Linked DNA regions of Danio rerio. The protein of the gene in region 2 purifies or fractionates together with the protein of the main gene of each other region. This does not show direct contact. Links are inferred from orthologs where the notes say so. Each region holds a gene or a part of one and is shown on either strand. Other genes may lie near its edges. The genes, in order: chd1, ssrp1b, mms22l, paf1, csnk2a2b, chd4b and mcm4.

Evidence for each region.
Region 1: the proteins of ssrp1b (region 2) and chd1 purify together in Homo sapiens (affinity purification with mass spectrometry; 3 studies listed by BioGRID and IntAct, with this or other methods). This does not show direct contact. The link is inferred for Danio rerio from reciprocal best matches to the Homo sapiens genes SSRP1 and CHD1.
Region 3: the proteins of ssrp1b (region 2) and mms22l purify together in Homo sapiens (affinity purification with mass spectrometry; 3 studies listed by BioGRID and IntAct, counting the BioPlex papers as one, with this or other methods). This does not show direct contact. The link is inferred for Danio rerio from reciprocal best matches to the Homo sapiens genes SSRP1 and MMS22L.
Region 4: the proteins of ssrp1b (region 2) and paf1 fractionate together in Homo sapiens (co-fractionation; 3 studies listed by BioGRID and IntAct, with this or other methods). This does not show direct contact. The link is inferred for Danio rerio from reciprocal best matches to the Homo sapiens genes SSRP1 and PAF1.
Region 5: the proteins of ssrp1b (region 2) and csnk2a2b purify together in Homo sapiens (affinity purification with western blotting; 3 studies listed by BioGRID and IntAct, with this or other methods). This does not show direct contact. The link is inferred for Danio rerio from reciprocal best matches to the Homo sapiens genes SSRP1 and CSNK2A2.
Region 6: the proteins of ssrp1b (region 2) and chd4b purify together in Homo sapiens (affinity purification with mass spectrometry; 3 studies listed by BioGRID and IntAct, with this or other methods). This does not show direct contact. The link is inferred for Danio rerio from reciprocal best matches to the Homo sapiens genes SSRP1 and CHD4.
Region 7: the proteins of ssrp1b (region 2) and mcm4 purify together in Homo sapiens (affinity purification with mass spectrometry; 4 studies listed by BioGRID and IntAct, counting the BioPlex papers as one, with this or other methods). This does not show direct contact. The link is inferred for Danio rerio from reciprocal best matches to the Homo sapiens genes SSRP1 and MCM4.

The regions. Positions count from the first base shown.
Region 1 is NC_133185.1:7,058,563-7,062,062, forward strand, and holds part of chd1 (chromodomain-helicase-DNA-binding protein 1), read right to left. Parts: intron 1,740-3,500; coding exon 1,549-1,739; intron 1,295-1,548; coding exon 1,106-1,294; intron 1-1,105. UniProt on the Homo sapiens protein: ATP-dependent chromatin-remodeling factor which functions as substrate recognition component of the transcription regulatory histone acetylation (HAT) complex SAGA. Regulates polymerase II transcription.
Region 2 is NC_133176.1:47,969,413-47,973,520, reverse strand, and holds the start of ssrp1b (FACT complex subunit SSRP1), read right to left. Parts: upstream 2,801-4,108; 5' UTR 2,739-2,800; intron 2,354-2,738; exon of another isoform or gene 2,338-2,353; 5' UTR 2,317-2,337; coding exon 2,263-2,316; intron 2,177-2,262; coding exon 1,991-2,176; intron 1,894-1,990; coding exon 1,788-1,893; intron 1-1,787. Other genes in the region: pold4 (DNA polymerase delta subunit 4), read left to right, coding at 2,953-2,977, 3,900-4,001. UniProt on the Homo sapiens protein: Component of the FACT complex, a general chromatin factor that acts to reorganize nucleosomes. The FACT complex is involved in multiple processes that require DNA as a template such as mRNA elongation, DNA replication and DNA repair.
Region 3 is NC_133191.1:35,484,937-35,488,352, reverse strand, and holds part of mms22l (protein MMS22-like), read left to right. Parts: coding exon 1-33; intron 34-113; coding exon 114-270; intron 271-2,218; coding exon 2,219-2,388; intron 2,389-2,494; coding exon 2,495-2,706; intron 2,707-2,801; coding exon 2,802-2,968; intron 2,969-3,416. UniProt on the Homo sapiens protein: Component of the MMS22L-TONSL complex, a complex that promotes homologous recombination-mediated repair of double-strand breaks (DSBs) at stalled or collapsed replication forks.
Region 4 is NC_133190.1:51,599,024-51,602,973, reverse strand, and holds the start of paf1 (RNA polymerase II-associated factor 1 homolog), read left to right. Parts: upstream 1-1,150; 5' UTR 1,151-1,267; coding exon 1,268-1,314; intron 1,315-1,529; coding exon 1,530-1,559; intron 1,560-2,645; coding exon 2,646-2,738; intron 2,739-2,834; coding exon 2,835-2,956; intron 2,957-3,167; coding exon 3,168-3,234; intron 3,235-3,808; coding exon 3,809-3,910; intron 3,911-3,950. UniProt on the Homo sapiens protein: Component of the PAF1 complex (PAF1C) which has multiple functions during transcription by RNA polymerase II and is implicated in regulation of development and maintenance of embryonic stem cell pluripotency.
Region 5 is NC_133200.1:14,587,696-14,591,759, forward strand, and holds the start of csnk2a2b (casein kinase II subunit alpha'), read right to left. Parts: upstream 2,801-4,064; 5' UTR 1,952-2,800; coding exon 1,848-1,951; intron 1-1,847.
Region 6 is NC_133191.1:34,957,595-34,960,032, reverse strand, and holds part of chd4b (chromodomain-helicase-DNA-binding protein 4), read left to right. Parts: coding exon 1-63; intron 64-143; coding exon 144-252; intron 253-1,992; coding exon 1,993-2,125; intron 2,126-2,214; coding exon 2,215-2,410; intron 2,411-2,438. UniProt on the Homo sapiens protein: ATP-dependent chromatin-remodeling factor that binds and distorts nucleosomal DNA. Acts as a component of the histone deacetylase NuRD complex which participates in the remodeling of chromatin.
Region 7 is NC_133199.1:39,267,970-39,271,469, forward strand, and holds part of mcm4 (DNA replication licensing factor MCM4), read right to left. Parts: intron 1,009-3,500; coding exon 870-1,008; intron 1-869. UniProt on the Homo sapiens protein: Acts as a component of the MCM2-7 complex (MCM complex) which is the replicative helicase essential for 'once per cell cycle' DNA replication initiation and elongation in eukaryotic cells.

The DNA.
Region 1 (3,500 bases), on a different chromosome or scaffold from region 2:
GGACCTAGTTAAAAACCAGACAGATCAGCCAGCATAATAGAGAGGAGCAAATCGCATCAAGTGATCATTATTTAAAAGAGGATAAAAGAAAAATAGATTAAATATATTAATTTATATTAGACACACATCTGGTGCTTGTATTTACTCCTCCTATACGTCCACAACTTCACGCATTGGGTTAAATGAGGCTTTACAGTATCCATGTTCAGTCCTTTTTCTTCCACTGCATCTTTTTAAAAAAAAGGCAGCAGCATTACAACCTGTCATTCAATCAGAAGACAAAGTTAAAGCGGAGCTGACTGCCAATATTTCCTAGGCTCAGCAAAACTAGCAAAAATACCTCTGTATTCCTGCAAGTGCAATATTTACAAAAATATTTCTTAATCAAATCTTCAGCAACGCTTTTGAACTTGTGAATTTGTTTTACATTTATTTACACCTTGACCGATTTCTGTATGACATGGCCATTAAAAATACAATGTTCCTTCACCAGATGGTTTTTCAAGTTACTTTTAAAGAGAATGTTACTTCAGTCATGTTGTTGTAATGTTTTGAGAAGATTAGTAACACAATAAAAAAAAAAAAAAAAATCGAAATCGGTCAAACTTTATAAAAAAATAGATTTTTTTTTTGCTAAATCGCCCAGCCCTAGCTCACACATACACTCTGCACTACTTCAATATTGTTGACAAGCCGTGCTGGACATTTCACTCTGTCTCACGCTGAACGCTGCCGACCAATCGCAACAGACTGTCATCAGTCCAATCAGTCCAGATTAGCATCGCACTAAGGAGGGGTTTGGGAACAAATGAATCACTGAACGAATCATATGGGAGTCTCTGGGATAATTATGTAAAGATAAATGCATTTTATAAGACAATGAAAGTGTTTTTTGACCTTGCATGCATATCAGCCTGTTGTTGGAGACCCCCAAAATCAAAATATGAACCTTTTTAATGTATAATAGGGGCTCTTACCATTACCAGAGAATTTTACTTTTCATTAAGACCACAAAGAATCATATCAACTTGTGTAAAATAAGCATCTGATGAATCACCTTTAATGTCTCTCTGTACTGTATTCTATATGAATGTGGTTGTCTTACTTGTAGTATTGTTTCTGAACCGCGCTCATCTCCACCCGGAGGATCTGTTCCACCTTGGCAGGCAGAGATTTCTCCACATCCTTCTTTACTCTGCGCAGCAGGAATGGCTCCAGCTCCTTATGAAGGCTTGTGTAGCCCGAATCCCTGCCTTTCCCATGTTCCTCTTCAAACATCTCCCACGAGTGAAACCTGCCAACATGATGGTTTATATCAGTGACATCTGACTTGCATGCTGTATTAAACCAATACAAGAAAGAGGTTAGCTCTTATCTCTAGGGTTTCTCAGCACTAACCACTTAAAAATAAACACAAAAGACTAAAAGAGCTTAAGAAATACCACATGAAAAGTTCGCCTGCGTGTAGAAGCACTTCTAAAATAAAGCCTGTGGCTACACTGGGAACTGAATAACAAAAGCTGACTGAAATCATGAGAGAACACCTACTTTTCAGGCATGATGAAGTGTAGCAGAGACCAGAGCTCTTTGAGGGAGTTCTGGAGGGGTGTGCCAGTGATCAGGAGCCTGTGATTGGACTTGAACTCTATCATAGTCTTGTAGAGCAGAGAGTCATCGTTCTTCAGCCGATGGGCCTCGTCTACACCAATGAACGCCCAGCTTACATTTCCTAAAAATGACTACAAGAGGAAAAAAATGTTACATACAATAACCAGAGTTCACATTTAAAAGGCGCAGCATGCAAGTTTAACACTCAGTGGTTGAACTAGGTGTTGTCAGATACCTAGCAGGATGTCAGATTGACGACACCAACAACGTAAACTCACATTTTCAAAGCAAAATAACTGACTTCTGCATTGTTTAAATGATAAACAATAAGGTTCAACTAGCATGTTTCTTAAAAATCTGCAAACGTACGGTTAATTTATGCTTCAGACGAGTCAAAAACTTACATACAGCACCTTTCAAGCCACAACTTTCACTGATTAAAAAGCTGAATCTCCAGGACATCTAATGAATGAAAAACATAGCTACTATGAGAATAACAGTGGATAGTACTTATTGTTTGCATGGCTGTGAAGTGCTCCCTCTACCATGTTTGGTTTCATCATCAGATAGTTTAACAAAATGTATATGTAGCTTTTATATTGCATACTTTTACACTCAGCATTTGAAGTGGTCATCTGGAAGCCAAATCTCTTAAAATGTCTTTTATCCTAGGCATGTTAACTTTGGTAAAGATACAGTGACAAGGTACAGCGAGGTAAAAAATAGTGATAAATAGGTGGGGGAAAAAAATAGCTTATCCATAACAATACAGAGCTTATTTATAAATACATATACATACTACAGGTGGGCATAGACTAATTTTTTAATCTAGATTAATCTCACTGTAATCTTGGATAAAATCTAGATTAAAATGGTTCATTTGAATTCTGCCGAAGGTGTTGAGAATGTGTGCTACCCAAATAATGACTAAAGGTAAGTCTTTGAGAATGGGTTCTTCAAGCCAGGTGGCGCATTAGACCAGGGGCTCATCTCCTGTTTCCAAAATGCTTCACAAACTGCTTGAGAATCTGTTCTACTATGATTATTGGTGATGAAAATAAATGATGTTCAATAAGGTGTACTTGTGTTTACTAACTGTTTATTCAGTTAAACATGAATTTTGAACTGTAGGCCTACATAAGCTCCAAACAGCCATTTTTGATTACTTTAATCCGACTGAAGTCAAAACTGAACTAAACAAAAATGGAATTAAGACATGTGGAGTATGCAGATATTAGTGGCATTATTGAAGTAAACACCGCAATCAAACTATTACCGTCATGTAGGACTTTGCCATATTTTCCAACAAGATCCACACATGCGGCTGTCAGTAAATGGCCGCAGACACACACACATTGCGAAATGTGGAAGTTTTTTCTTTCCATTTGGCGTGCGTTATTAAACTCATAACACTCTCACCAGTCCTTACTCCTTATTGATGTCTTATACCCCAGTTTGTCACAGGGGCATGGATGAAGTGTTCATGAGTGAATGTGAAACTGCCGAACTGCAGGTAAAGTCACCAAAAATTACACGAAAATCTTACATGAAAGCACGTCACGTAAACACCTTAATTATATTAGTGTCTATTACAGCAAATAACTAGATTACAAATGTCCATGTAAGCGTAGTCAGTATGTCTTCGAAGTGAAAGATTCAGAAGGGCATCCAGCTGATTTGATTCTTTTTTCTCACAGGCTTAACTTTCATTCATTTTATAAAGCACCCGGCCCATTTTATGTGTATATGTTTTACTCGAACGCGTAAACTCTACAGGTGCCTGATAGTTAAAGCTAACATTAATCAGATTCACTCTAGTCAACTGCATCCATGTTAGCACGTCATGTTTGATGTGATAATTTCACAGTAGGAATACACACAGATTCGAAGAC
Region 2 (4,108 bases):
TTATAAAAATAATATTACTGTTATATACTGTGCAATAGTATCACAATAATATATATTTTATGGACTTATTACATTTTTATAATTAATTGAAAAAAATCTAAAGCAAATTGTAATTACAATTGAAAGTAAAATGCTACACAGAATGCATTGCTTATTTTGTCTTACAATAAAGTCAGCTGGCGAAAAGGCGAGGCGAGAACATCTTGTAAGACATCTTGTATGTCCTGCTCTTAGTGCTCCAACAGCCTGAGTATTTACAACATTTACACTACAACATTATGTATTTACCTTGAATTAGCTACATCATGTTTAATAATATGTATTTTTGTATTTATTACATTTTTATAATTAGTTAAAAAAATCAAACATTTTAATTACAATTACCGATTCACATCACCATACATAACATACAAGAAACCTATTTTTATAGTGTTATTTTGCTTTTGATTATTAAAAAGCTTTAAAGATATGTTCATCGAAAGGTTCTTTGATATGGAGCGAATAATATGCCAAAACAATCTGAATTTTCTTCACTGTTGATGACCCCTGACCTACTTTTTGCTAAATCTGAATTTCACAATCTGATTTTCTGGTTTTAAAATTTAAAATATTGAATTCGATGCTCTGAATTTCTTCATCTTGAAAACTCAAAACTGTATTTTCACAAGCTCAATATCTGCAATCTATAAATTTAGAACGAAAAAATCTGAAGTTTGAAAATACGTCAATAGAAATCTGAAAAAATTCAGTTGTCTTAAATTTCAGATGTTCAATATTCAAGTTAAGAAATTCAAATTCAAACAGTTTAATAGCATTTAATATTAAATTTTATTAAATTACAATTGCTATTGTGATTCAAATTTGCACAATTTAAATTCAGATTGTTTTTCCATATTATTTGCTCCATACTTTTGGAAGACAAACATACTAAAAAACAGTGTTTAAGGTCACTACTGTCACAATCACCAGCGATCTAGACCAACGAATCCTGTCATGCACCTCACACACACCTGTTCCAGTTCTCTGTTGATTACACACACACACACACACACACACACACACTTTTTTGAGTCTTGTTTATCTGTGAGCATTACGACGTGTTTTCTCCCTGTTTAGCCTAGCTGTGTTTTAACCCTTTGTCTCTTTGTTTTGATTCTTTGCTGCTTGTTCCGACCATTCGCCTGTTCTATGACCACGACTCTGGATTCTCTGTATGTATCTGTTTTACCCTGTTGACTGTTGCCTGCCTGACCATTCTAGTAACAAACCTGTTTGTTAAAACAGAGCAATGAAATTTTCACAGTATGTCTGATAATGTTTTCTTCTGGAGAAAATCTTATTTGTTGTATTTTGGCTAGAAGAAAAGCAGTTTTACATTTTTTAAAAACACTTCAAAGACAAAGTTATTAGCCCCTTTAAGCTATTTGTGTCCGATGGTCTACAGAACAAACCATCACTATACAATAACTTGCCTAATTACCCTAACCTGCCTAGTTAACCTAATTGACCTAGTTAAGCCTTTAAATGTCACTTTAAGCTGTATAGAAGTGTCTTACAAATATCTAGTTAAATATTATTTACTGGCATCATGGTAAAGATAAAATAAATCAGTTATTAGAAATGAGTTATTAAAACTATTATGTTTAGAAATGTGTTGAGAAAATCTCTCTGTTAAACAGAAATTGGGGGAAAAAATAAACAGGGGGGCTAATAATTCAGAATGGCTAATAATTCTGACTTTAACTGAATATCTCAGACAAAAAGCGTTGCAACAGGAATGCACTGACCATTAAATTTAGCAGTGCCCCAATTCCAGCCCTTAACACACATGTCTTTCTCTGTTAGCTCCACTTTGTAGTTGTCTTTGAAGTATTCTGAGATCTTCTCAAGGTCCTGCGCAAAAAGAAACGGATGAAAATTTAAGACCTGGAATGAAACAGCGGATCAAACTGAGTGATCAATTGATCTGTAATTTGCATCTCAGACTCACTGCGTCTTTAAAGCCATCATATTTGTAGATGTGGCCAGTGCTGGTCCATAGTTTGATGCCGTGACCCAGACAGACTCTCCTCCACTGGGCCTGAGTGAGTTCAGGGACCGGAATAGTGTCCACCTTCCCGGTCTTACTGTTTTTATACACCACTGTCTGCTTACTGAAGCGCAGGCGGCCGTCATTCTACAAGAAAAGACAGTCGGTCAACTTTATTGAGAGTTTGATAGAAAAACACCTCAAGTTAGAGAACAAAACCTTTTTTAACTCACCCATGAGCCCTTGACCTCCTGATAAATTTCATTGAACTCCAAAGTGTCACTCATGTCAGAGTAGACAGAATGGACCTGTGACGTTTAAAAGCTGCGACAGTTATTAATATACATTATACATTATACAATTTCCACTGCAAATGGCAATATGAATGTGTTATGAATGATAGAAAACTCCCAGTTTACTCTGGTGTCAACAGTAGACTTTTATTATAGGTTGTTTTGGATGTAAAAATCTAGCTTTGTGCTTTAAGAAAAGCTTTTGCGAGTGTTATTATTTTGTGGCTGCACAGCGAGATGATGTCTAATAATAAACAAATAAAGCTAGCAAAGCTGGCGTTCAGGCATCAAACAGCGGCTTTTGTGACGAACGACACGTTTGCAAATTTACAGCAAATTTACAGCAGGCTTAGTACATTTCGAACGCTTTTGTTGCATATGTTATGAAATATGCGAGAAATTTGAATGAGTATTACTGTTATTCGGCGAGAGGATCAAGGCCGAGTCCCGTGAGCGTAGATGTGCGGCGCGCAGGAACGCCTTCGTCATGACGCAATCGCGCAGTGTGCGTGGCTCAGCCCTGCCTATCGAACGTCAGTCTGTTTTGTAAACGATCGAAACACAAAGGGAAAGTTAAAAGGCTTTATTGATGAAGACTGCTGCTGTCAACATTTACAAATAATTTATCATATGACGATATCCTATCAGCGTCCAGGTATGCAATATATTTCAGATATACTTTTTTGACAGTAGTGTTTCAAGCACTGTTGTTCGATGGATCAATAAATAAAGATCGCCTTTACTGGTGATTTTAATGCAATTTATTTAGAAATTAAAATGAAATGCTACACAGAATGCATTGCTTATTTTATGTTTTAGACCGAAAGCATCTAGTAAGATAGTATTTGCATGTCCTGCTCTTTGTGCTCTCACAGCCAGAGTATTTACAACATTATTGACGTTACAACATTATGTATTTACCTCGATTTAACTTGTTGATATATCTTATTATGCTACATCACGTTTAAACTAGGAAGCTAACACGTTAGTTAACATGTACTAACAATGAAAATACTGAAACTGTTGTTTACATGTGCCTTGTACTTACTAAAGTAATAACAGTGAATTATTTATAATTACGCATGATAAACTGATACCAACCCCTTTTCTTAAACATATACTATTATAATAAGTTAAATATAGTTTTTTTTTTGTGTGTGTGTGTGTGTGTGTGTGTAAAAACACTGGAACAAAGACTCTTAAAGGGGATAGTTCACCCCAAAAAAAGAAAATTCTGTCATCATTTACTCATCCTTCACTTGTTCCAAACTTGTTTGAGATTCGTTCTTCTGTTAAACAAAAACAAGATAATCTGAAGAATGTTGAAATAAAAAACAGCCTATGACTTGTTTTTGATAATTTTTCCAACATTCTTCAGAATATCTTCTTTTGTGTGCAACAGAACAAAAGTTTAGGAATTTTCATTCTGTGTGAACTATCTCTTTAATTATTGTATAACTGAAAACACTTTCAAAGTATATATTCATTTTAATGCATTACCATTTATCGATAGTTCATTGATTGAAGTTACATACATACTGTAGCATATGTATTGCTCATTGTTTGCTTTATTTCAGATATGACACCAAAGCGTGGCCTCATCACCGACACCTTTAAGGTTGTGAAGAAGGCAAGGAGAGGAGGCAAGAGAAGCAAGTCTCCTTCACCACCGAAAGCAGGTCAGATAGTATTTTGTTCTGTGTGTTAACATGCATCTTTAAGCAGAAATCATTCCATATCACTATGGTCCTAAAGTGTGCAAATGCTTTAGAGGCACATGCAACCA
Region 3 (3,416 bases), on a different chromosome or scaffold from region 2:
GACCCCAAAGCTGCGATGGCAGTGTTCCTCAAGGTACAGTCTCAAACCGCAAGCTCTAATATATAAGCCTTGCTGTATTTCATCCTGTAAATACTGTGTTTGTTGTTTGTCAGGCTGTGGGCCGATCCTACTGTGAGCTCCAGCTTCTTTCTGAGCGTTCTTCAGCAGTGTCTCGAGCATTGGAGTATGTAGGAGATATCCTTAAATACATCAAGCCTTACCTGCAGAACAAGAGCCGGGAGGGCCTACACCTAGCGTACTGGACCATAGGTCAGTGTCTTTTGACATGATGTAATTTTGATTAGTTTCATTTTAAATAGCATGTGAATGTGCACGTCTGGTGTGCGATACTTTCAACTGTCATGTGCGCGACATGTCGCGGCGCATCCGGTGTGTGACATCCTTTAAAGAGCATGACACAAATATAAAGTAGAATTCAACCAATCAGGGGTGCGTTTCTCAAACAACAACGCAACTAAACTACCATAGTACGATGCATTGTTTGGGAAAAGAACGATGTAGTGACGTGTTTCCCAAAATGATAGTTGCTTTGTCGCAGATCCATTGTTTGAATCATGTTAGTTATAACATAAAACATCTATAAGGACACTCTAAATGGGGTGGTAACAACTTCTTTGGAGAAAAAACAAATAAATGTTGTGCAAGTTATATTGTTTTACACGTACATGCGTTAAAAAAATTCCAGTGTTAGTTTTGGGAAAATCATGCTCTCGTTTTCCATAATTAAAATATATGTAAACAGCACATATAGACCATATCTTTCCATTACAAATACTATTGAAAATATATTCTATTCTAAAACATAAAACCAAAGCGAACATGTATTCTACTCTCATATATAAACCATTAATGGTTATAATTTACAGTTGGCTATTTATTAAGAAATGAAAAAAAAATCCTCCTTATAATAATAATAGTTTATAATAATTATTATTATTATATTATTAAGTAGGATATTGTTTTATTTATGTATTAATTTATTTATTTTGTTTAACTTTGACACATTCAAACCACTGCAGATATGTTGTAACCAACAGGCCTATGTCATATACAGTACAGATACATTTCCTAATTAATAAATTAAAACCATTAGCGTATGCTATATATTTTTGTTTTCTAAAGCTTTGGAGGTGAAAATTCTGCATTTAAATAATAGGACATCTATAGTCTTCGTCATGAGCCTTGGCTGCGTTCAAAATGGCATAAATGGTTTCGTGCACTATGAATGGGTTGCAATTTTCAATATGAAGATCGCTATAACTAAACTGTTAAAAATACATTTAAAGCAAATGACACCTAAGGGAGATTACTTGAATGCTTGTTTATCATTCTAAGTTTAAATGATGGAATGTTTGAAAGGAATAGGGTATAGGGAAGATAACTGGGACTGTAACACAACCAGGAACTATGCTTCTAACTACAGCTCTAGAGGTGTAATTGAAAGCGTACAAGTTTGTGAATGTTCATTGGAATGATGGATTTGGGAAACAACAAATCAATGAACTATAGCTGCGTCCCAAATCGCATACTTATGCACTATTCTACGCCATTTTGTAGTATAAATAGTGTAAGTAGTGTGTTCACACTGAAAACTCTAAAAATAATTAGTGCACTTTAATTACCCGGATGATGCACTCATTCAGCCGCTAAAATGAAGTGTGTAATGATGGACACTTCACGCACTCAACGACCGCAGGTTTGCTTACGTAGCGGAAGGGTCGGAGCTATCGGACGCACATGTTGAATAACTTTATTTTTATTTTATTATTATTATTTTTTTATGGATGGTGAAAGCAAAATTCTCCTACGAGAGTGATTATAGCGCCTCCCGATGGTGAATGCAGCAATACTCACGGCAGGTATTATTTGATAATTCTTTGATAATTGAATTTCCACTTAGTAAAAAAACATTAGTGTGCCATTTGGGACACCACTACATACATATACTATCCTGTTGAGTGTGTAAGTGCATAAGTACATAGTGCATGAGTGTATAGTGTGCCATTTGGGACGCAGCTTATGTTTGTAACGATTGAACTTGTGAACTAGCACTTGTGGCTAGCAATGGTTTTCATAAACGCACCCAAGATTATGACTTATTGCGCTTTTTTTCTCTCATGAGTATTTGGTACATCTCAAACCTGTGGTGGCGAACTTCATGTTTACTATAAACTTATTGTGACTGTACATTTTTCAGGCTGTTTGGTCAAGCACTGGAGCCACCTATTGGCCACCTCTAAAGCCCAGCAGCTGCTCTTCCGCATTGTAGATGTGCTTTTACTGCCCCACGCTCTCCTCCAACAGGACACTGCTGCACACACTCAAATGCTGTCAGCCCTCAAAGACAGTCTGCCTATGTTCCTGCAGGTTAATGCGCCTCCTAATCCAATACTCACTTTATACTCAATCTTTTAGGAAATCCTGAGGTCATTGTTAATTGTGATCTTAACTGAGATTGTGTTGGCATCTCTAGGGTTTGTCCGTGGCAGTGAGCGTGTCCCATTCTCAGGGGGCGTACCTGAAGCAGCAGCAGCACAGTGTCATTTCACAGTACCTTAGCCGCTTCCTCCCAGCCACACCCTCTACTGGAGCAGTGGTCAATCATCCTGTCCTGCTGGCGGCCTGTGAATCTACACCCAGTCCACAGGGTGAAAGACTCAGGAAGAGCATTCTGCATGTGCTGAGGTGCAAGTCTTTCCTCTTCTTTTTTAGCATGATTTCATGTTTACACCTAGAGAAACAGATGTCCAGATTTTCAACAATAGTTTCTGTTTCTGCAGAGAGAACTTCCTCCAGTTTAAAGGTCTCGCTCCTCCTCCTCGACTTGCAGCTGTTCTCTGTTTTCTGTTGGAGCTCCTGAAAAGGAACAGTGACAGAGATCCTGCCCTGCTCACGATACCCCTTCCTTCAGTGCTGCGCTGTTTAATGCTGGTGAATGAACCACAAGGTAGGCAGGGGACATGCCAGATGAAGGTCCATTCACATGATGTTTTTGAAAAGCGTGTTAAACTTAAAGTCATTGGTTCTAAATTTAGCACTCAAAAGCTGAAAAAAAGTCTCTGTAAGTGATTCTAGTACTACAATTCCTCCTGTGAAATGTTATCTTTTAGAAATCACTAGATTTGACAAAATCTCACAAATTTTCATCAAGACTGTCAAATCCGATATTTGTAATTCTTTAAATTATATTTCAATATAGCTCAGGCTATTTTATCAAGATATGACACTATATTGTTTAAAGTCTACGAAAGTGGGCACATAATTTGTTAAGTTTTATGTCTTTCTGTTGTATTTATATTGTGTATTGTCTCCAAAATAAATAAAGAAAAAAGCTGCTCGCGGCATAACAGAGCTGTAAAGGAGCGCTTTTGCCCGGTCTCACACACATACAGGCA
Region 4 (3,950 bases), on a different chromosome or scaffold from region 2:
ACAGTGATTGATCTGTTGGGGTTAATTTTACAGTTGCTATGGTAACAACAACAATTACAGTAATTATCTGTTGTGGTGATTCTGCAGTTGCTATGGTAACAACAACAACTACAGTAATCTGTTGGGGTTGATTCTACAGTTGCTATGGTAACAACATCTACAGTAATTAATCTGTTTTGGTTATTCTACAGTTGCTATGGTAACAGAATTATAGTATTGGTCTGTTGTGATTCCATGGTTGCTATGGTAACACGACAACTACGGTAATTAATCTGTTGTGGTGATTTTGTAGTTCCTATGGTAACAGCAACTATAGTAACTAATCTGTTTTGGTAATTCTACAGTTGCTATGGTAACATAATTATAGTATTGGTCTGTTGTGATTCCATGGTTGCTATGGTAATATGACAACTACAGTAATTGATCTGTTTTGGTGGTTCTTCAGTTGCTATGGTAACAATTATAGTATTGGTCTGATGTGATTCTACGGTTGCTATGGTAACACGACAACTACAGTAATTAATCTGTTGTGGTGATTCTACAGTCGCTATGGTAACATAAGAGCTACAGCGACATGAGCAAATGAGCCATTACTGTGGTTTTCTAGAGCTATACAGTATATTATACTACAAAACACCACAGTTTGCTGTAGTAAAAACTAAAGTACGCTACAGTACCTATTACAGTTTATCCGTTCACCCTAGTTGATACTACAGCACGAAAGAGTTGTAACTAATATAATACACATAAATTATAACCATTTAGTTGAAAATCATGTAAATGTAACAAATGTTCAGCTCTGATTATACTGTAAAATTATGTTTTTATTTATGGTTCATATTCTATTCGAATAATAATTTTTTTAATAGGGAGTAAAGTATATAATACCACGATTTAATAACAAAACTTTGATAATGTTTAAAAGTTTACATATGGGTTTAGTTTTACGCGAACTCACTGAAACCACACGCCTCTATGATGTAATAAATCCTCAAAACAGTTTCTACTTCATGGAAACAGTTTTTGAACGTGTTAATACATGATTATCGCTTTAATTTTGAGTCCCAGAGCGGTGAGTTTTGCTCAGGCTGTGATCGGGCAGCCGCTCAGGGTCCTGCTGCTGCTCTCGTCTGCTGGCCGGAAGTGACACACAGACTCGCGCGCCGCTGTTTTGTCGATAAACTGATCAGAAGTCTTCATTTTTGTGTGTGTGTCTTTGTTGTTTATCGATCATCAGTGCTGACGGGACGCGTGTTTTTGCTCCTCCATGGCTCCTACCATACAGACGCAGGCGCAGCGGGAGGACGGACACCGGTGAGAGGAATAAACCATAATAAACACGCGAGCGCGCACTCTTATCATCAGCAGAGCAGTTAAACTGATGTACACACACACACACACACACACACACACACATGTAGAGCTGTCTAAGAGCACGCTAGCTGATATACACACATGTAGAGCAGTCTAACAGGACACTGTGCGCTTATGAATGTCTCCTGATGGTATGTTCATGTGTGTTTCTGCAGGAGTTCAGCACACAGGACTGTTCCAGAGAGGTAAACTCACCACCGCTATTCAGCTCATTGATCAGTGAAGGCCGTCTGCGTGATGTTGGGGGAAATACAGTGCGAGATGTTCTGTCATTTATTTATTTAGTTTTTTTCTTTATTTATTTTGCGATATGAACACTAATACGCGATTAGAGTACTCATGAAATCAAAAGTAGCCTTGTTGATGTTGTTCGCTCGCATTGCTGGTTCTGTGCTGAACAGTTCCTCTGTGCAGGTCATTCAGAAACAAGTTTGCGGCTTGTAATCTAAAATTGAAATCTGGAAATTCTCAGATTGCGTCAGTCTGAGGTGTGGGGTGGGGCTAACATTCTTAACCACGCCCCTTTCACTGTTATCACTGACAACAAATGGTGAGGAGGAGGAGTCTGTTAGGTTGTAATAACTCTCCTCAAACCTTCTTCCCAATGTTTCTGAATGAAACGCCTACTTTACCACATCCAATCAGCTCGCTGTAGAGAAAACAAGCCACGCCCACTGTTCACTACTTTAATATTCAATTTCTTTGCTCCACAACCAATGACTGTAAACGATATGGGTTGCGTCCGAAACCGCATACTTCCATACTATATAGCACGCTAAAATCAGTAGTGTCCGAATTCATAGAATTGGAAAATCAGTATGTGAGAAGTGCTCGGATGACTCTACTTCCGGGCAGATTCTGGAGTGCGCATCCCAGGCAGTTTTGGGAATTACATCTTTTGATTTTAGTCGTGAAACAGAAGCACTTTTTTTAACATAATTTTTGAAAAAATTACTCAATATTTAGCTAAGATTTATAATGGAGGCATGCTTTTGTGATGTGCTGCAGGATTGTGTGTTTAAGTGACATCTGACTCAGCCAATGGTGTGAGGGTGGGGCGGGGCCATCTGCCTGTCTGGCCAATGGCTGACTGTGGGAGAGCTCTGTAATGCCTTTTTCAGTCCCTGTGTGTGTGTGTGTGTGTGTGTGTGTGTGTGTGTGTGTGTGTGTGTGTGTGTGTGTGTGTGTGTATGTGTGTGTATGTGTGTGTGTGTGTGTGTGTGTGTGTGTGTGTGTGTGTGTGTGTGTGTGTGTGTGTGTGCGTGTTGCAGGTCTGGTGTGGTGTGCAGAGTCAAGTATGGAAACAGTCTCCCGGACATCCCGTTTGACCCCAAGTTCATCACCTATCCGTTTGACCAGCACAGGTGGGGTTCTTACACACACACACACACACACACACAGCGTTCTGAAGGCCTGGGCTTTGTGTGGTGACTGTGTGTGTGTGCGTGTGTGTGTTTCAGGTTTGTGCAGTATAAAGCCACATCCCTGGAGAAACAGCACAAGCATGAGCTGCTGACCGAGCCGGATCTGGGCGTCACCATCGACCTCATCAACCCAGACACATACCGCATCGACCCCAACAGTGAGAACACACACACACACACACACACACACACACACACACACACACACACTTTAACATGAAACTTTAAGTCTGAATGTTTTTGATATTAAATGGTCGTCTAATATTTAACGAGCTTTTCTGTTCAGCAATATGTAAAGCGGTTGACCTGTGTGTGTGTGTGTGTGTGTGTGTGTGTGTGTGTGTGTGTGTGTGTGTGTGTGTGTCTCAGTTCTGCTGGATCCTGCTGATGAGAAGCTGCTGGAGGAGGAGATCCAGGCTCCATCCAGCTCAAAGAGGTAAGAGAGAGAGAGAGAGCTATCAGCTGACCTTTGACCTGTTTTGTGTGTGTTTGTGTGTGTGTGTGTTCATCTCCATGTGTTCCTGTGTGTATGTATATATAAAACCTGAGTGTGTGTTTTTGCATGTATGTTTGCGTGTGTGTGTATAACCTGTGTGTGTGCGTGCATGACTGTTTCTGTGTGTATGAATGTTTGAGTGTGTTTGTGTGTGTGTGTGTGTGTGTATAAATGTTTGTTTGTTTGTGTGTGTGCATGAATGCGTGTGTGTGTATGTGTGTTATAGGTGTATTGTGTTTTGTGCATAGTACGTGTCTCTTCATCTGCATGTGTTTTGGTGTGTAAATATTGATGTGTAATACGTGTGTGTGTGTGTGTGTGTGTGTGTGTGTGTGTGTGTGTGTGTGTTTCTGATCTCTGCATGTGTTTGTCTGCATTTGTGTGTTATCTACATCTGCATGTTTAATGTGCGTGTATGTCGTGGTGTATATAATGTGTGTACGTGTGTGTGCAATGTGTGCCTGTTTGTGTATATAATATGTGTGTGTGTGTGTGTGTGTGTGTGTGTGTTTAGGTCACAGCAGCATGCGAAGGTGGTGCCGTGGATGAGGAAGACGGAGTACATCTCCACTGAGTTCAACAGATACGGCGTCTCCAACGAGAAGGTGGAAGTCAAGTGAGTGACACCTGTCTGACCTTTGACCTCTCTGACATTA
Region 5 (4,064 bases), on a different chromosome or scaffold from region 2:
TGAATCACAACTAAAATAACCATTAAAGTGTTATGTTAGTCAACATGATCAGTTCCATGAATGAAGACCTATATGAAAAATGCTATGGATGGATGGATGGATGGATGGATGGATGGATGGATGGATGGATGGATGGATGGATGGATGGATGGATGGATGGATGGATGGATGGATGGATGGATGGATGGATGGATGGATGGATGGATGGATGGATGGATGGATGGATGGATGGATGGATGGATGGATGGATGGATGGATGGATAGATAGATAGATAGATAGATAGATAGATAGATAGATAGATAGATAGATAGATAGATAGATAGATAGATAGATAGATAGATAGATAGAGATACTATGATTATGCAATAGACAAATGGACAGACAGACAGATATAGATAGAACGATAGATAGATGGATAGACGGCAGGCAGGCAGGCAGGCAGGCAGGCAGGCAGGCAGGCAGGACAGACAGACAGATAGATAGATAGATAGATAGATAGATAGATAGATAGATAGATAGATAGATAGATAGATAGATAGATAGATAGATAGATAGATAGATAGATAGATAGATAGATAGATAGATAGATAGATAGATAGATAGATAGATAGATAGTATGATGACAGAAAGATAAAATGATAGACAGATTGCAAAATATATAAATCAACATGGCTAGATAGACAAAATTAGATGGCTAGAACCATAGATAGAACGACAGACAGGCAGGCAGGCAGGCAGGCAGGCAGGCAGAGAGACAGACAGACAGACAGACAGACAGACAGACAGACATATAGATAGATAGATAGATAGATAGATAGATAGATAGATAGATAGATAGATAGATAGATAGATAGATAGATAGATAGATAGATAGATAGATAGATAGATAGAACATTAGACAGGTAGTATGATAGGCATAATGATAGACAGATTGCACGATAGATAAATCAATATGGCTAGATAGAAAATTAGATGGCTAGAACCAAAGATAGAACGACAGAAAGACAGACAGATAGATAGAAAGAACAACATATAGAACGGTAGATAGAATGACAGAAAGATAGAACGACAGATGATAGACAGACAGACACAAATGAAGATATTTTGAAGAATTTACGACTTCTATAGTACTTTAGTTCCTACTATGAATATTGCCAGTTTTTGAGTTCTTTCAAAACATGTTATCTTGTGTTCAACAGGAGAAACTCATAAATGTTAAGAACAAGCGTGAGTAAATGGTGACAGAATGCTCATTTTGGGTGAACTATACCATGATGAGTTCCTTAAATGTAGAATTACATGAAAAATGCTAAAGTATTATAATTCCATATTCTACGGGGGAAAAAACACAAAAAAAAAACCCTAATAAATAATGACAGCGCATTCATCAAGCTTGTAATTATATATGTGCACCGTGCAAAACAGAAACACATTAACTCCTTCAGAGGAATCCAACCATTAAAACCACTAAATGTTCTATTAGTGCACTGGTTTAGAATGGTAATTACTAGATGTGCATTGCACACTTGAGGGAATGAGTGCATTTGCATAAAATCTGTGGTTGCTGAAGAGGACACACACACACACAGCTCTCTCTAACGCTGCATCTGTAAATCCGTTCATGTCATCCTCTCATCATCATCATCAGCAGCAGCTCAAACAGGGGCTGCTCGATCGCAGATTGATGACTTTCCCAGCACGATCGATAGCGAACCTACAATGTGAACCACTGCGCAAAGGAAAGCAGCAGACACACGCAAAACGCGCACGGATATAGGCAGCTGGTTTTGAGACACACAACATTGGATGATGATGCACTCGGGCTTTTTATAGCTTAATCTCTCACCTCCAGGTGGGCACGTGGGCCTCATAGTCCCAGTATTCCCTGCTCTTCAAAGTGTTGACATCGGCATACACCCGAGACTTACTACCGGCCACCGGGCCGGGCATGGCGCGTGACGGGGCTCAGGGTGTACGAGAAATCTCCAAATCCAAACCAAAACACGCAAAAATAAAATAAAATAAGAGATAAACGCGCAAACACACAAACTCACACACACACAAACGAAAGATCAGCGATTATAGGCAGACCAGCCAGGAGATGTGATTGTATCCGATTGAGGCGTGCGATATCTGATAGCAGCGGCGGAAAAGATAAAGCGCGTTGGCCGCTGAGCAGCGCTCGTTCCCCGGCTTGTCAGCGGCGCTCTGACCGCCTGGAGCTCCGAGAGGGTTGAAAATGAATGGTGGATAGTCTGTGAAATGCTCCGGCAGTGCGAATGCGACGTCTATTTCCGATCTGAATGTGTTGAAGTTTTGTGAAAAGTTTAAAAATAGATAGTAGGCGGGGGGGTTTGTTTAAATCTAATTATTGTGGGTTAAACCCCCCCACCACCCCAAAGGGGCCCCAAATCCCTAAATCCAAAGCATAGAGAACCGAGAAGAAAAACAAAAAGCGCCAGGATGTGATTCCTCTCAGTCTGGAGTAAGTGGCGTTGCAAAATATAGTCCACGGTGAGTGAGTAGAATTTAACTAACCAGTGCCTAAGCTGGATATTGACTGGTTAGAGAGAGAGAGAGAGAGAGACGGAGAGAGAGAGAACGGGAGGCGGTGGACTCGAGATCGATGTTTAACTGATCTCCGCTAAAAACCGTGTCACAGTGACGTCGCGTGCGTAGCCGTTATGCAGGAATCGCGAAAAACGTTTATAATCCCGTGCAGTGCTGTGCTTGTTAGCGGGGTTCGGGTTTTCCGGACCAATCCCCCCCGTGCTGCTGCAGGAAAAAACGGACAGCTACGGTTTGACCCGGAAGCTCATGGTAGCTTTATCAATTAGCATCGAAAATCCGGAAGTACAAGTTGCTATGGCCAGTGGGCACGTCTGTCCGTTGCTATGCGCCCATATGTGAAACACTTCCGTTTGCACAACAGACTGACGCATGAACAACAGTCCCGTAGCCAGGCCAGGGGGAGGGCTCGGGTGGTTCGAAAGACGGTCAGGATGGTCAGGGTATATTCTGGCAAACCGCATCCAGAATTTGGATCATACGAGCTCATGTGTACTATTTTGAATGCTACGCCATCATACATTGTGAAAATAACCCATGCATTGAAAAAGGTTGTTGTGACTTCAGCTAATCAGTTTTAGCCAACACTAAAACTCCAGCTGTGCGAGAAACAATACACTCTGATGAAGTGAAGTCATCTTTTTGCTACTGTACTGTTTTTAAATAAAGAAAACATTGCACAAGTGACTTTTATTTTTGAAACAAAAAGTGATCGATTCGATAAAAAGGTGTGAAGCACCAGCAGCCTAATAATTTGAATACCAATTTTGCTTTTGTTGTTGTCCATGGTTTTCCAAATGTAGGCCTACTTTTTTACCAGAGAGACTACAAAAATCGTGAAGCTCTACATTATTATTATTAGTAGTAGTATATTGTGTTTTATTTTTATGTCATTCAAATGGCCAAATTCTTCTTTTTCTTTGGTTTTATTAATGCCACAAGAACAAGATATACATTTCACATAGCTTTCTGAAAGAGAAAAATATCGAAAATAAATAAATAAAAACACATTTACATGAAAAATGTTTTCAGAGCATTACATGTTTTCAGTGCTTTTTGTTTTGTGATTGTAATTAAAGATTTATATATAATTTGAAGTCATTCAGAAAATGGGAAAAGTTTGGTTTACACTGAGCCCACTTTTTCTTATGTATTTGGTATTTTCCTAACATAAACAAATTAAAAATATGTTGTCCTTTACAGTTCAAGTTCTCGTTATCAGAATAAAACAGCCCATCGAATAAACAAATTTCTATCTTATGCTTCATTGTTTTGTTAAAAAACAATTCCAAATATTTCTGAAATATTCTTGAGTAAATACAATGATAAAAAAGATCTATAATAGTTTCTTTTTCTTGACCACAAAGAAACATAATAAAACATAATAGTTTCAATGACTAATTTCTAGGGCAACGCTGTTGCGCAGTAGGTAGTGCTGTCACCTCACAGCAAGGTCACTGGTTCGAACATCGGCTTAGTTGGCGTTTCTGTGTGG
Region 6 (2,438 bases), on a different chromosome or scaffold from region 2:
AGGAGAAAAAGAAAGCAGTGAAGCAGAGGTTCATGTTTAACATCGCTGATGGAGGTTTCACAGGTACGATGGGAATTTACTGTGTGTGTGTGTATGTGCTGGCCAATTTCGAATCAATGAACTCTCTGTTTTTCTCTCTGCAGAGCTGCACTCACTCTGGCAGAATGAAGAGAGAGCCGCTACAGTCACCAAGAAGACTTATGAGATCTGGCATCGTCGCCATGACTACTGGCTCCTGGCTGGGATCATATTGTATCCTTATTGGTGAAATTACATTTATCGTTTTGGTAATTAGTGCTTGATTCACTAAAAGGAGGTAGACATATATTTTATTGTTTGTGTTATTTAGAATACAGTCCCAGGTCGAAGTTTGGAAGCACACTCATTCCTAATTATTGCATTTTTTAATAACGCAGGCTATTAAAACTAAACTGTATGACAAATAAAAGTATGAAGTCAGAAGTCGGGAAACAAACCATTTTTTTTTAATAAAGAAATTTTTTATTGAAATTCGAAAAATTGTGTACACATGTAGTGATTAAATCAATTATTGCCATTATAAACAATCTGGTAACACTTTACAATAAGGTTCATTAGTTAATGCATTTACTAACATTACCTAATAATGAACAACACGCGTACAGCATTTATTAATCATAATTGAACATTTACTAATGCATTATTAACATTCAAGTCAATGCTTGTTAACATTAGTTAATGCACCATGAGTTAACATGAACTAACAATGAACTGCTGTATTTTCATTAACTAACATTGACTAATATGAACAAATACAGTAGTAAATGTATTGTTCATTATTTGTTCATGTTAGTAAATGCATTAATCAACATTAACTAATGAACCTTATTGTAAAGTGTGACCAACAATTTATTTGATACTTTAAGCTCTGTTTTTATAAAGAAAATCTTTTACACTTTAACCCTTGTGTTCTGTTGTGGATGTTTTCATCCACTTTGGGGTGACTTTAAGTCTTAATTTAGCCACAACTTTCTCACTTTCAGCAAATGGATTGATTTGGAAAAATGCCAAACAATACACTATGGTTAATACTACCCTTTTGTTATAATGGTGGCTGTTTTGCTCATTTGCTATTTTTTGATCGCAAAGCCATGACACAATATATAATCATGCATTCTTGATTGTTGCTGATGTTCCTGTTGGAAAGAGGTAAAATGTTTAATTGTTACTGTTTTTTTTTTTTTTTAATCAGTTGCAGTGCAAAAATGCATAGTTTCTGGCATCTATATATGGAGTACAGTGTGTGTGTGTGTGTGTGTGTGTGTATGTGTGTTTGAGAAAGAGAGACCTTTGCGCACTTATCTTTATATGTCTGAGAAAATCTAAATAAGCAACTCTTCTCTAAAAACATAGTAAGTGTATTTACTCTTACTATATATATATATATATTTTTTTTTCGTGTGTGTGTTTTTTTTTACTCTATTTACACTCATTCTTCTACTCAATAGTATTCCATATAAAAGCCAGACACTTTTTCTTAACGGTGCCAACTGATGGTCAACAGTAAAAATTACACATTTTACCTCTTCCCAACAGGAAAAACCACCAACAATCATGAATGCATGATTACATGCTGCCATCCCTTTGCAATCAAAAAATGTCTTTATAATGGAAGTCAGTGTGGCAAACACAGTCATAAACAATAACGAAGGGGTAGTCAATTTAAAGAGTACAAGGGTTAACAATTTATATTTACTGAACTTAAACACTAAAAAATGAACTACCCTGATCCAGTTACTATGACCATTTATGTAAAGCTGCTTTGACAATCTACATTGTAAAAGCGCTATACAAATAAAGCTGAATCGAATTGAATTGAATATTTCAACAAAGCTGTGGGTTTCAACTTATTATATATCTCATATGTAACTGCTGCTAGTTTATTTTTGAATAATATTCATCTTCAAACTGAACTATTTTCAAAACTATTGTCCTTAACCTTTGTACTATTAGCCATGGTTATGCCCGCTGGCAGGATGTGCAGAATGACCCGAGGTTCGCCATCCTCAATGAACCGTTTAAAGGAGAAATGAGCAGAGGGAACTTCCTCGAGATTAAAAACAAGTTCCTTGCTCGCAGGTTTAAGGTCAGAGATGTACAGAAACTGCCCGCTAAAGTTTGCCCAGAGGTGCATTTGTTAGCTCCTCTTTCAACAGGACCATTTGTCTCTTTTAGCTGTTGGAACAGGCTCTGGTGATTGAGGAGCAGCTCAGACGTGCTGCGTATTTAAACATGACTGAAGATCCTTCTCACCCCTCAATGGCACTGAACACGCGCTTCAGTGAGGTGGAGTGTCTGGCAGAGTCACACCAGCATCTCAGCAAGGAGTCTATGTCAGGAAACAAGCCTGCTAATGCAGTTCTACACAAAGGTACAGCAATCCCCATAACAATATAGTG
Region 7 (3,500 bases), on a different chromosome or scaffold from region 2:
TGATATTCCTGACACAATCAGTGATAGACTGACGGCAATAACTCACACTTACCCTAAACAGATCTAAATTGTTTCCTACAAAAATACAAGGTCGGTTATGTTTCACAGCTGTCTTCTTTTTTTTCTTTCGCTTGATATGAGAACTGCTCTGTTTAAGCCTTCACCATAGTAGTCATATAAAAAGCGAATAGGTCATGGGTTATTGTTCCCAAATTATGAATCTGAATTATGTAGAAGCACTGTCCATGCGTGTTTCCTCGTCGGTTAGTAACGCTTTATGTCATTGCACAACAATTAGCCTATCAGGCTTTTTGGCTAAAAAGAAAGAAATCCCCGTTTAATAAGTTATTATTAGATTATATTTAAATTTCACCTCTCCTGCTTTGCATGAACTAAGCTAGGCTAAGCTAGCTTCAATTTTGATTAAATTATTCTCTAACTGGTTGCCTATTATGTCGCGAATATACCCCTGTAATGCATAGTGCAGCCTATTTGTGCCTTTCTTTCTTGGATATCTCATTTGTTCGCCAAAATAGGACTAACTATATCCCTGGGAATGTCTGACACTGGCGCATACACATTGTAATAGACGTGCCAGGCACGAAAGCTTGACAGGCGTATTAACAGTAACTAAGGAAGGCAGAGCTTAGCAAAGGGTCAATTTGGTGCCGTGACCCGGATAGAGACTGAAATCAAGAAATTCCTCACCAATTTGGTGCTGTGACCCAGTGATAAGACTAAAATCACCAAAGTCTTACCAATTTGGTGCCGTGACCCTGATAGAGACTGAAATCTCCAAAATCTCACCAATTTGGTGCCGTGACCCAGGTATAGAGCATTAAATCACTAATTTCCAGCAGGTTCCTTACCTTCAGGATTGAGGTTGCGCATGTTTCTGGTTTTAATAGCGCTGTAGGGTCGCACTTGAATCTGATGCTCCAACACAGAGTCTGGAAAACGATCGAAGAAGAGCTCATTGACAGACATGTCGAAAGTGGGGATGACTTCCTGTGAATGGAAAAAGTTAGAAACTTTAGACAAAGTCACATTTTAATAAATCAGAGTTTAGGTTTTTGTAGGCATACACAGCACTGCAACACTTATTTGACTAAAAGCACAAATCGCTAATAATGAGAATTATCAAAACAATCTTTAATGTGATTTATTATTATAAACCTAAAGGAAACCTATTATGCCCTATTTTGCAAGATGTAAAATAAGTCTCTGATGTCCCTAGAATGTGTGTGTGAAGTTTCAGCTCAAAATACACACAAATAATGTTTTAGAACTCTTTAAAGCTGCCCGTTTAGGCTTTGATCCAAATTGTGTCATTTTTGTGAGTGTCGCTTTAAATTTAAATGAGACTGTACTCTTCTCAAAAGAGGGTGGAGTTTAAAAACACCTATGTCACCATAGCAGCAGATAACTCTAATGTCAGACGGCTGCTTCTCACTCAGGGCTGTTTATGCTAATGAGGGAGAGATGGTCACTAATGGGCGGGGCTTCCCCCCCTCTGATGACATGTACAAAGGATGAATGTCAATCAAAGTGTTTCTGTTGATTGTTTGATTATAAAAACTAAAACCCATTAAACTCATAAAACACATTTTTACCATTAGAAGCTGGTTATATTCACACAGTTACCACACAACTGTTTCTGTTTTTGCATAAAAGGTCTTCTTTAAAAGATCTTTTCTTATCATTTAAAGTCTGTGAAATCCAAATGTGTTCATTTTGCTAGTGCTATTGAGTGTTATTCTTTATGTGAACAATCAATCCGTGCAAGTAATCTTCAAAGTCTGGCCTAGAGCTGCACAATTAATCGTAAAAAGATCGCAATCTCGAATCGACCCCCTAGACCAGTGGTCACCAAACTTATTCCTGGAGGGCCGGTGCCCTACAGATTTTAGCTCCAACTCTAATCAAACACACCTGAACAAGCTAATCAAGGTCTTACTAGGTATACTTAAAACATCCAGGCAGGTGTGTTGAGGCAAGTTGGAGCTAAACACTGCAGGGACACCAGCCCTCCAGGACCGAGATTGGTGACCCCTGCCCTAGACGATCTTCATCCAGCATTTCTATGATTCTGCCAATCATATTTTCAAGTTCAGGGGAAAAGCAAAGGCGGCTGCACGAGTCTTTTCATTCTTTCACATACATTGCTCAGCAACATGGACACCTCCAAATGATGTTGAATGAGTCACATACTGTATTTATAAGGTATAATTCACCTAAAAATGTCATTTTTGTCTTCATATAATGCTGTATTCAAGGCCGGGAAATCAAATGTGACGTGAACTATAGTGCGGGTGTGTGCCCTACTTGCGCGTCTCCTTTAGTGAACAGAACTTGCTGTGAGTAACGGGTAATAAAATTGTAAATAATATTCCGTTTGTGGCACAGAGTGATCGCTTGGGTGCCGCGTGTGAAGTATGAACAGCACATGAAACCGAAAGTGTGCACTTTATTTAAATGATCATATCACATTTTAGAGTTATGACTGCGACAAGCATTTGATATGTTTTTCTTTTATAGCGAACACACAGTTGTGCATGAAAATAAATGTTTAAAGAGTCAGTATAACTACTCTAGCCTATATAATGTTGATTTTACCAGTGAATTAAACGGTCGAATAATGTTGTCAATGATTGCATGCATAGGCCTATATCTCAAACATAATTCAACATCAGAATTATTATAAGTAGAATGGAATTATTTATAGAAACCAGTAGACCTACACATAATACCAATATTGTTGTTTTACCATATGTTTGGGAAAAAACAATAATAATTGCCGACTCATAATAACCTTTATTTTACATCTACAGAATCGTGAGAGAATCAATCTTTGTTTTAACCCAAAAAAATAAAAAATAAATAAAATAAAAATGTAAAAAAAAAATTGCGATTCTCATTTTAGCCAAAATCGTGCAGCTCTAGTTTGGCCATTTGCTTTTCTAGTGGCGTCTGTTTGATGCTTTATGTACTTAACCACGCCCCTCTTACCATTAGTGAGGGAATGATGCGCAAAGAGAAAGCCCCGCCTCCTGCTCAATACTGCATTTCAGTTGGAAGTACATCAACATACTGATATGAAAATCTTTCAAGTAAAGCTAAATTGTGAATTGTCACATCACGCTTCAGAACTAATTCTGATGTGATGATATGGTGCTCAAGAAACATTTCAGATTAAATAAACAAATATTAATGCTGTGAGTATTTGATGTAATGAAAGTTCAAAAGAATCACATTTTTAACATTATAAAAGCCTTTACTGTCACTTGACCAATTTAGAGGACTTCCAGTATGCAGTTTGGAGAGTGAGATGTGTACGGGAGTCACTCCGTAAATTTGATCTAATTCAAACAGTTAAAAAGGACATTTTGGGCTTTTAATGATTTAAAGTGACGTCCACAATGGTAAAGATCTTTCAAATCCAGCTAGAACCAGCTAGTTTTCCTCATCAGTATGCCAAAACCCAAGCATGTTTCTCCTGA